Macaca mulatta: one gene and its partner. Each later gene encodes a partner of the first gene's protein in a complex. Links are inferred from orthologs where the notes say so. Each region holds a gene or a part of one and is shown in the gene's direction. Other genes may lie near its edges.

What was found.
Region 2: the proteins of KDM4A (region 1) and H1-4 are in contact, whole or in part, in a crystal structure (PDB 6H8P), measured with the Homo sapiens proteins. The link is inferred for Macaca mulatta from reciprocal best matches to the Homo sapiens genes KDM4A and H1-4. Residues at the interface, in NP_055478.2 of Homo sapiens: Ile71, Asn86, Ala134, Asp135, Asn137, Thr167, Ile168, Glu169, Gly170, Val171, Tyr175, Tyr177, Glu190, Asp191, Ser196, His240, Lys241, Ser288, Thr289, Asn290, Asp311, Met312, Val313; in NP_005312.1 of Homo sapiens: Ala24, Arg25, Lys26, Ser27, Ala28, Gly29.

Annotation. Positions count from the first base shown.
Region 1 is NC_133406.1:197,014,110-197,019,711, reverse strand, and holds the start of KDM4A (lysine-specific demethylase 4A), read left to right. Parts: upstream 1-2,071; 5' UTR 2,072-2,190; intron 2,191-2,442; exon of another isoform or gene 2,443-2,486; intron 2,487-4,914; 5' UTR 4,915-4,953; coding exon 4,954-5,091; intron 5,092-5,438; exon of another isoform or gene 5,439-5,575; intron 5,576-5,602. UniProt on the Homo sapiens protein: Histone demethylase that specifically demethylates 'Lys-9' and 'Lys-36' residues of histone H3, thereby playing a central role in histone code. Does not demethylate histone H3 'Lys-4', H3 'Lys-27' nor H4 'Lys-20'.
Region 2 is NC_133409.1:156,951,510-156,957,142, reverse strand, and holds H1-4 (histone H1.4), read left to right. Parts: upstream 1-1,783; 5' UTR 1,784-1,846; coding exon 1,847-2,506; 3' UTR 2,507-3,540; coding exon of another isoform or gene 3,541-3,921; 3' UTR 3,922-3,930; intron 3,931-4,227; 3' UTR 4,228-5,497; downstream 5,498-5,633. Other genes in the region: H2BC5 (histone H2B type 1-D), read left to right, coding at 3,541-3,921. UniProt on the Homo sapiens protein: Histone H1 protein binds to linker DNA between nucleosomes forming the macromolecular structure known as the chromatin fiber. Histones H1 are necessary for the condensation of nucleosome chains into higher-order structured fibers.

The DNA of each region.
Region 1 (5,602 bases):
TGTAGTCCCAGCAACTGGGGAGACTGAGACAGGAGAATGGTGTGATCCCGGGAGGCGGAGCGTGCAGTGAGCCAAGATCGCTCCACTGCACTCTAGCCTGGGCAACAGAGTGAGACTCTGTCTCATTAAAAAAAAAAAAAAAAAAAAAAAAAGGAAACAGGAAAACTGGTCAGAAAAATGGGAGCATATCATGAGAACTTGATTTAGGCTCTACCTATCACGTGCACATACCAATTAGAAGCTAGTGATACACAGTAGAGGGGCCTTGGAAATCATCTGGCAGCACCGGGAAATACAGCAAAATCCAGTTTATGGAACACAGTAACAGTAGTGCTAGCGACTGTATCCGTGTACAGGACAGTGGAGTCTGTGAAGCAACCTGCAATATCTTGTGCTTAGTGGCAGCAGCAAAGACGGTGGTGGATGAATTCTACCGGTTTTCTTTATGTGTCCTGTAAGTTGGATTCTTCAGACTCGGCACTTTTGTGAGCTACTCAGTATAATCTATTATCTAATACTGTCGATTACCTTACTGGGTAAGGGAGAAAAACCCTGTAATTGTTGTGAAAGACTTGTGGCTGTGTAGCCAACGGCCATTCTTTTTGAAACAGTCATTTCTGTTTTTGAAACTTTTTTTTTAACACTTTTTTTTTTCAGTAGGCATGTACCCAGCCTGATGCAGAAATGATGATTGGTCCATACCGTAAGTCCATAGCATTCTATGTAATATGTTCTTTTTGGCAACATTCATTAACTCTTCTCTTTACAAAATCCGCGAGGCATTATTTTTTCCATTGTATTGATGTGAACTCCCAGGCTCAGCAAAGTTACTAGTTTTGAACACAGGCCTGACTCCATATAGCTCTTTCCATGGCACTACCCCATTACTCACCCATGGTAATTTTGTACATTTTTTATGACTCTGGTTGTGGGTATTTTACTTTCCTACTTGACCTTCCCCATCACCCTTGACAATTCTGGGAACTCCTTAAGGCGACTCACTACCCCTCAGGAATCGCTCCTAATGATTCTAGGAAGCCCCCTCCCCCTCCAGCCCCCCAGAAGTGCCTCTTCTGATTCCCAGGATGCCCCCCTCTCCGCCCCAAGAGCTGCTCCTAATGATCCCCCAAATCCCCGCTCACTGAGGAAATGATTTTTTTTTTTTTTTTTTTGAGACGGAGTTTCACTCTTGTTGCCCAGGTTGGAGTGCAATGGCTCGATCTCGGCTCACCGCAACCTCCGCCTCCCGGGTTCAAGCGATTCTAATGCCTCAGCCTCCCGAGTAGCTGGGACTACAGGCATGCACCACCACGCCCGGCTAATTTTGTATTTTTTTTTTTTTTTTTTTTTTTTAGTAGAGACGGGGGTTTCTCCATGTTTGTCAGGCCGGTCTCAAACTGCCGGTTTCAGGTGATCTGCCCGCCTCGGCCTCCCAAAGTGCTGGAATTACGCGCGTGAGCGACCACGCCCGGCCAGGAACTGCTTTTTAATGACCCTAAGGACAGCCTCCCTCAGGGTCTGTCCTAATGACCCTCAGGGCAGCCTCCCTTCCCTGTCCAGACTTGACAGCGAATGAGGGGTTTCCAAGGACGCAGGATTTTGTTTTGAAAACTGAGACGCCCAAGACAAACCGGGACAAGACGGTCATCTTTTCAGCACTCCCTGAGCTCGGAAGCTGCCCCTAAAGGCCCCGACACATTTCCACGTTAGGCCAAGAGGATACTCATCCCAAGAAAACTTTGGCCCATCCTTTCGTTAGCGACATCCTGTAGTAACCTCACCGCCCTTACCCATCTACCCGACCGGCCCACTTCTAGGTACTAGCTTCTTTCAACCCTGATTAGTTATGGGTGGCCAGGAGCCCGCCTATGATTGGCCAGCTTCGCGATCCAGCTAGAGGCTCACTGGCCGCAGTCCCGAGTGGTACAGCGTTTCCTCCTGGCAACAGCCCGAGCCGGCGCTCATAGGCTGAGCACACTGAGGTCGGGACTGGGAGGTGGCTGCGGCGCGTGCTCATTGGCTGGTGTATGGTTTGCAGCCACCCTTGAATTGGTTGACTCTGTGCGGCTGCGCAGATGCAGACTTTAGAGGAGGCGGAGTTTCGTCCTTCGCCTGCTGGAAAAGCAGTAGGATCGGCCAGTGGCGACAGCAGGAGCTGAGCCTAAGCCCTGGCGGGGCTTTGGGCTGTAGGTGAGAACTATAGGGTTTTGGAATTCTTGAGGCGCTTTGCTGCTGTAGCCGTGACCGTGAATTTTGTGGGGGAGGGGCGGTGGGGGTGGTTCTTCCAGCGGTGAGTGATCGGCATGTTTCTCGGCCAATAGGAGAAGGAGCTTCCAGAATGTGTTCTGAGATTGGCCTTTTCCAATCTTCAGGGCCAATGGACGTCGGGAGAGGGGGGCGGGTCCTCTGGGCCTTATTTTCTTCTTCCTGCGGCGGAGCTTTACTCGCTAAGGCGGCGGGGCCGGGAGGGGCCGAACCTGTGCGCGGTGAGGTTCGGGGACCTTGGGGAGCAGGGTGCGCTGCCTTTGGAGTGATGTTCGCGGGAGCGGCTGCGAGGGAAGGGTGCAGGAGTCCGAGGGGTTCGTTAGCAACAACTAGCTTTATTGAGTGGTTAAGTACCGGGCCTAGTGCTTAGTGTTTCGCTTGCATCATCTGAGCTAATCACAGCGACCCTGCAGGGCAGGGGGTTGGGATCCCCATTTTACAGGTGGAGAAACTGAGACTCAGTCAACTCACACAGCCAAGGTCACACAGCTAATAGACGGCAGAGACCGGATCTGTATTCAGAGTTGTGACTTTGGAGCCGGTGTTCTTGAATCACTAGGCTTTGTTACTGATTGGGAGGGAAGGTGTCATGAAACGGGAGCTTTCCCCAGGGAATAGATTGGGGGAAGGGAATCGTAGGGTTGAAGAAGGGATGAACAATTGAGGTGAGGGTGAGGAAATCAGTTTTTCAACAGTTACCGATTGCCTACTCTGTGCCATGCATTGTTCTAGGCATACAAAGATGAATTGGGCCAGAGGCTGATGAAGCCCATTAGGGCCCCTTTGAAGGCCCGGGGAAGGGCCCCAACATTGTATTCACATGACTGTATGTTTTTATAAAATTTGCAAAAGTAAGATATTTTGGATTCATTTTTCTTTTTAAGAGGGTCTTCAAAATTAAATAAACTTCGGGTTTCTCCATACTTGGAACTGCCCTTGCAAAGGACTTAATCCAGATGGAGATGAGGATGTAAGCAGTATAGGGCAGTGGAAGGTGCACTTAAGAGTGGGCTGTGGGCAAATTTCCTGGTATGTAAAACAGGGATAACAGTATACCTGCCATGCAAACTTTCTGCCAGGTTCATGAAAAGCGCCTGTTTAGAAACACGCCTTATTTTCGATGGAAAGGAAGCCTAGGAGATACGGGTAACTGGATTTGCCTTCTCTCCTACCTTACACAGTTCTGCTCCCAGGGCTGTAACCAGATTTCTGGTAGATTGGAGGCAGTTTTCTCCTTTCTGAGCTCTCCAGCTCTCAAAGAGACTCTTGGAGCTGAACCGCCATAGCTTTGGGCCCCAGATAGCGGGGTACAGAACTGCTGCTGCACCCTGAGTGAGGAGGGTGGGTAAAGGAAAGGACATACTAGTGTTCCTTCTAGAATGGCCTGTTTTCACTGGTATGCTTTGTCTTTTTTCAGTTGAGATGGTCTATTGTGTTACCGAGCTGTGGGGATGCACCCATTTAGCTGAAGTTCTCATCTAAAAACAAAGTATTTATTTGGCTTTCTCTAGTCAGTTATGAAGTTTGCCCTGTATTGCTAGTTTAAATTTTGTCCTTTGAGTTCTGGGTACAGTGCAATGGAACTTGTTTGTAACTTGATTTCATTAAGTACTCCTGAAACTGCATCTTAGTTTAGATAGAACAGTTTCACTTTAGGGTTTTAAAATTATGTTACTAATATCAAAGGTTTTAAAATCATGTTACTAATATCAAAGTACTTTTGAACCCTTAAGTTTTGTTATCTTGTAGCCACTTAACTTTTATTAGGTATCCGGTTTAGCTGTGCCCTAGGAAGGAGCTTTGGCCTCCCAAAGTGCTGGGATTACAGGCGTGAGCCACCACACCCAGCTGTGCGTGGCTTTCAAGTTGTAGTATATTATGTTTAATACTCTGAAAAGTGATTAGCAAGGTGTTAATAAGGGAGTAGCTTGAAAGGATAAGGGTAAAATATGGACATTTTAGCTGTACTATTAGATAGGACCAATAACCAAATTAATTTCCTTTTTTTAGCTGAACAATTTTGTTTGTTTTTTTTTTTCAAGAGCAATCCTGTTGCAATAACAATATCTCTGTTGAAATAAGGTTTGAATCCATGCAGTTTTGATACATCACTTTCTTTTTAAACAGAACCTTTTCGATCTGTATTTCTAGTTTATTTAAATCACTTCTTGTTGTGATGTTTTAAAATTTTTTGAGACAGGGTCTCACTATGTTGCCCAGTCTAATCTCAAACTCCTGAATTCAAGCGATCCGCCCACCTCTGTCTCCCAAAGTGCTGGGATTACAGGCTTGAGCCACCACAGCCCCACCCTAAATAACTTTTCTTTCCTTTTTTTTTTTTTTTGTTTGAGACGGCGTTTTGCTCTTGTTGCCCAATCTGGAGTGCAATGGCACAATGTTGGCTCACTGCAGCCTCAGCCTCCCGGGTTCAAGCGATTTTCCAGCCTCAGCCTCCCGAGTAGCTGGGATTACAGGCGTGAGCCACTGTTCCTCGCCCCTAAATAACTTTTCTAGAGGCAGATTCCAGGTGTGAAGTCTTAACTGCATCTTCTGAATTTCTATATTATCTTTTACTGTTTTCAGCATTGATGTTTCCAGCACTTAATTTTAATTTTTATATTATTTTATGCTCTTAATGTGTTTCTTCAGATTCCTGTCTGACTAAAGGGACCTCAAAAAGGAGGGAAAATGGCTTCTGAGTCTGAAACTCTGAATCCCAGTGCTAGGATAATGACCTTTTATCCAACTATGGAAGAGTTCCGAAACTTCAGTAGATACATTGCCTACATTGAATCCCAAGGAGCTCATCGGGCAGGGCTGGCCAAGGTAAGGAGCTGGGATTGTTCAGATGGTTTTGTTACCTAGGGCAGCAGTAAGATTTTTTTCCTAAATAAGGGCCAGAACTGTGTTTTACTGAAAGTTGGGTGGGGTGATGACTTTAGTGAATGCAGTTCTATTTGCAAGTTAATTCCCGTTGTTAACATCAGAAGCATCTCTGCTTTTAGGTAGGAAGAGAGCTACTTGGAATCTTCAGAAAGGGGGAGGTAAAGAGCTAGTGTCTCCAGGCCTGGCTGCTGTTGTGCCTCAGCCCTCTTGGTGGAGCTGGGTGCAGTAGTGTTATTGAACTACCAGTGAGTGCTTATGCCATCTGACTTCTCTTGCTCTCATTTCAGTCTCATCCAGCACTCTAGTAGCAATTTGGCTTCCCATGTGGACTTTCTTCAAGGGGAGAGAATGCACTGGCCAGCCAACATGAGTATTCTGGTCCTTGTAATTTGAAATTGGTTTCTGGTTTGTACTTCTTTCTCCTGTGAGTTGGATTCGTTATTTTTCCTGA
Region 2 (5,633 bases), on another chromosome or scaffold:
TGCCCATATAATCAGTTTCCCTAGTATGTTTTGGAGATTTATCCATCTCCCTTTTTATTTCAATAAACACCAAAGGACATATTTACTTTTGCACTGCTGTGCAATAATTAAATTTTATTTATTTACACATGAAGATATTAAAAACATTGATAATTTACATCACTTTTATACCAAATTCAACATTAAACAGTATTGTGTTGACACATTTCACTCGTGTTATATCAAAATTCTATATTCTCTTTATTTCAGTAGCAGAATTTTTGTCTGGAGATTTTGGGCAATGAAATTAACATTTAAAGTGATATCCAACGCCATATTACAATCAGCCACGTCCACAGAACAGTATCATATCAACTTATAGCATTGGGCAAAATTTTATTTTGTTTCCATGATAAGTGGCTTGTAGTTCCACCCATACTGTTCCAGCCATACCGTTATTCAGAAATAATTCTTTTAGTTGGGCTTTCATTGCCAACCTACATACACTCTTCTTGGTTGGGCAACTACCTAAAGAGATTTACTCAGACATTGTTCAAAGGATGTTTTCAGAGGGCAATGATTTATAATAGCTTAGATAGACTCTCAAAGCTCTGCTTCTGAGATCGAAATTTGAACTTGTCATTTAATCACTACATGTCACTTATTTTTCTTTCTATTGCGCTCTGCGAAGCGTTGGGATACAGTCTTCAGGGGGATTGAAACCATACATGGTGAGTGGACTAGTCATTCCTCAACTATTCAGTAATAATAGCGGCTGGGCTTCTCTAATAATGGGAGTACATATGTTTCAATATACAGTTCTTATTTATTTTCCCTTATTATCAATGTTTGAATTCCAGCTCTAAGCTACTTTATTGCAATTTGGTTCTGAAGCATATGCCAAAAGCACTCAGCAAGGCTGCAGACAAATGCTTTAAAGAAAAGTGCACCTCCACTTCCAGTGACTTTATGAACATCACATTCGAAAATTAATCTTTTTTCAACTCTGTACCCTGAGTATATTTTGGACTTCCCTTCGTTCCCAAATACCCTGAATTCAAGGTATCTCAATCCATGGAGCAGTTGTCCAGAGAAGAGAGAAGCAACAGCCCCGCCCCCAACCCTTGGGAGCAGAAAGGGAAAGAATTATCCAAAGGAATTGTTTTAAAACTCAGATATAGCGGACAGATGTAAAACCACGGCTGCATAGATTGATGTCCCAGGGGTCCAAAACTTAATGTCAAATGAGGAATAATTTGTTTAGCATTAAACTAAACCAGTTTGATGAACTCAAATGCCCTCGGCTCAATAGGCAGGACTCTCCGAGGAGCCTGTGTTACTTCCCTCACTTAAGTGCAGATTTGTAATAAAAATCTTAATGCCAGTGGCATGCTTTTTGGATATATCAGAAGCTAACCACTTGGAGAATCATATTTGAGAGGTCAGAAAACTCCACAGTTAAAGATCGGTTTATAATTTACGAAGAAAATAGAAAGTTTTGTTTCTCTGAGTTGAAATTTGCCAAGCACGGCGGGAAATATTGCAAGTTTTTGGCACAAGGCTTTGTGCTTTCCTCATAATTTGAGATCTGCGTGAAGCCTGAGGGTTCGGGGATCATTATCTGAGAAAAACCGGGTAGTTCGGTGCAGACAATTTTTATATTTTTGGCTTTTTTTGAGGTGTAACAAACACAACTCGGGATCCGAGAGGACACTCTGCGGCTGCCAGCGAGGCGGGCTGGACAGCGCACCAATCACGGCGCAGCTCCGCCCTATATAAACGGGCGGGCGCAGCGCCGCGGCCCGAGTCCCGGCCAGTGCCTCTGCTTCCGGCTCGAATTGCTCTCTCTCTCACGCCTGCCTTCAACATGTCCGAGACTGCGCCTGCCGCGCCCGCTGCTCCGGCCCCAGCCGAGAAAACACCCGTGAAGAAGAAGGCTCGCAAGTCCGCAGGTGCGGCTAAGCGCAAAGCGTCTGGGCCCCCCGTGTCCGAGCTCATTACTAAGGCTGTTGCCGCCTCCAAGGAGCGCAGCGGTGTATCTTTGGCCGCTCTCAAGAAAGCGCTGGCAGCCGCTGGCTATGACGTGGAGAAGAACAACAGCCGCATCAAGCTGGGTCTCAAGAGCCTGGTGAGCAAGGGCACTCTGGTGCAGACCAAGGGCACCGGCGCATCGGGTTCTTTCAAACTCAACAAGAAGGCGGCCTCCGGGGAAGCCAAGCCTAAAGCTAAAAAGGCAGGCGCGGCCAAAGCCAAGAAGCCTACAGGAGCGGCGAAGAAGCCCAAGAAGGCGACGGGGGCAGCCACCCCTAAGAAGAGCGCCAAGAAGACCCCAAAGAAGGCGAAGAAGCCGGCTGCGGCTGCTGGAGCCAAAAAAGCGAAAAGCCCGAAAAAGGCTAAAGCAGCCAAGCCAAAAAAAGCGCCCAAGAGCCCAGCGAAGGCCAAAGCAGTGAAACCCAAGGCGGCTAAACCAAAGACCGCCAAGCCCAAGGCAGCCAAGCCAAAGAAGGCGGCAGCCAAGAAAAAGTAGGAAGTTCCTTTGGCCAACTGCTTAGAAGCTCAACACAACCCAAAGGCTCTTTTCAGAGCCACCCACCGCTTTCAGTAAAAGAGCTGTTACACTATCAGGGGGTGTGGCCGGGAAAACGCCGCTATTGAGGGGCGGGTCTCCCGGGAACAAAGTCGGGAGAGAGGAGCCGTTTTTGGCCAGGGGGTCATTTCGCGTTCCGTCGGCCAAGCAGGAGTGCAGCCGCGTCATTGAGCTTTTATTGCGTTTTCGAATACTGGAGTTAAAACCCATTTCGACCTCCGTAGTACTTAACACTTAGCGAGATCTGGCCTGCAAATAGCATGGGAAAAAAAGTCGGGATTTTCGCGGGCTTCTAGGCTGGGACGTATGAGTTCCGAATAGAGAACACTCAATTTCCGTGCTGGCTCCCTACAGACTATGGCAAGCAATGAAGGAGTGCAGAGGAGTACGTCTCGACACAGGTGGCATAGTACACTATTTCAACCACTGCCACAACTAAAAATTAGAAATTGACACTGCAGAAAATACTTGGTCCTTAAATGTAGCATTTGCATAGATGACTTCCCAAACGCAAAACTGCCAGACTTCCAGGGATATCCCAATTACCATGACTTCTGTATGCAACGAGTCCTATAATTTGTTAGAGGAAGAAAAGAGAACGTGAGCTCTCCTAAAGTATCTTTCAGTATACGTTCTGACACCACAACGCTAATAAAAAGTGTGATCTCAAAAACAACTGCTCCAAGAGAAGTGCACAGCTGACTTGTCTAAAGACGACTATTTATAGTAGCCTCGGGTAGTCTGGTCTGGGCTTTCTGATTGGGTAAAAGTAAAGTAATGAAATAGCCAATGAAAAGGTAGACTTTTAAGTGTCGTTTACATTGGCATTTGTGACGACACACAAAAATTAATCCAATCATAAACGAAATCTGATTAACCTCATTTGAATACCGCATCTATAAATGAACGGGGCATCGGTGGGAGTGATTATTTTCTCAGGTGTTTGCGACAGTGTTGTAATTATTAACGTTGCTATGCCTGAGCCTACCAAGTCTGCTCCTGCCCCAAAGAAGGGCTCCAAGAAGGCGGTGACTAAGGCGCAGAAGAAGGACGGGAAGAAGCGCAAGCGCAGCCGCAAAGAGAGCTATTCCGTGTATGTGTACAAGGTGCTGAAGCAGGTCCACCCCGACACCGGCATCTCTTCCAAGGCTATGGGGATCATGAATTCCTTCGTCAACGACATCTTCGAGCGCATCGCCGGCGAGGCTTCCCGCCTGGCGCACTACAACAAGCGCTCGACCATCACTTCCAGGGAGATCCAGACGGCCGTGCGCCTGCTGCTTCCGGGGGAGCTGGCCAAGCACGCCGTGTCGGAGGGCACCAAGGCCGTCACCAAGTACACCAGTTCCAAGTAACTTTGCCAAGTAAGCATCTTTACACCTAATCCCAAAGGCTCTTTTAAGAGCCACGCATGTTTTCAGTAAATGAGTTGTAATTTCATTCAAAAGGGGGATTATTGGATTTCTCAGCACCATACTACCAATCTTTAATGTTATGTTAGTACTGCAGAGGAAATACTTGGAAATTATAGGTAGTAACAATAGGTACCAGAAGTTGAGTGCTATGGGCACATACTAGATCATTAGCTCATTTAGTGTCAGATAACACTAACATAAACTGAAAGTACTGTAAGTGTACAGCTCTTTCGTTTCCGTGTGCAGATTTCCAAGTTGATCGTGATGTTGATCTGGGACTTCGTGTGGTGACGGCCCACCCTGAACACAAAAGAGCACCCTTTTGCAACTTCCTTCTGTTTGGAGCTTTCTCCACCATCACCCCCGCCCCCCGTTTTCTTGTAAAATTTTTACCATGCAGATACGTGATAACTGCAAGTAAAGGCTGAAGACAATGTGAGCTGAACACGGAAGTATTACAAAGGTTTCTGGTTTGCTTTGTAATTGGGCCAGTTTCTCTCTGAAGCTCTTAGGCGAGTAGGGGAGGAAAAGGCGGATCCTAGGCGCTGAGGTGCAGGAAAAAAGAAGCAACTTCTGAGACACCTTAAAATTATTTTGCTAAACCGTCTTTTTCAGAAAGCTATTTAATTTATAGTTTTCTTTTGGCAGCTTTCAGGTTAAAAGTTCACTAGGTAATGGCAGAAACCCAAATAGTCATTAAGGTGTCTGACTGCAGGTAGGCAATAGTTACCGCAGGACTGAAGCCCCCTTTGCAGTACAATTTACCCTTTCCTAGATGCCCCTTAGTACCTAGGACTGGATAAGGTAGAAAGGGAAAGAAAACTTCCTTCTGGCAGGATGTAGCTTCTGCTGCACAAGATAGAATGATGACAAAAGGTTTTCACTGCTGGAGAATGGATGATTGTGGGAGAAAAAGAATCTCAGAAGAGTGGAGAGGGAACAAGGAGGGAGTGGCCATAAGGAAAGGAACCAATATTTACCACGTGAAAATTGTGAGATGGATGAGGCTAGGTTTGAAGTCAAATGTTAGCTGAGATGGAGAACTTAAGTGGTGGATGATCATTGTCTAAAAGACGAATGAGTTTAGAAGTTCATTGTCATGCCCTCAATGTCCTCATGCCCTCATAAACAAACATGAAATCTTGGATTATGGGATACATTTTCCATAACGTGGCAAGCTTGGTACTTGAACGGATAACTAAAAACCTGAATAACAGTTTCTAAATTCTTAAAAGTAACAAAGAGGGTCTAAAAAAGTAAAGAGAAATCAGAGCCAGGGATTTGGCCCATGTTAAACCCCAAGCACTACAGCTGGCTTTTACCCAACCCTTAACTTTCATTTTTAGGGTGTTATATGGAAACCGACCAGGGTATATAGGGCCTGATAAGAGATCTTTTTAGGTGAAAGTGAGACACCAGACGAAAATCTGTCACCTCAGGGTAGAAGGATGAACTAGAAATAAACACACATACAAACCCATCACAGATGAATGCAAATAAAAGAGTCAGCTCTGAAGTTGGGTTCTGAGTGTTTCATGTGTCGGTGTGAAGAGATCACCAAACAGGCTTTGTGTGAGCAACATGGCTGTTTATTTCACCTGGGTGCAGGCAGACTGAGTCCGAAAAAGGAGTCAGCAAAGGTTGGTGGGACT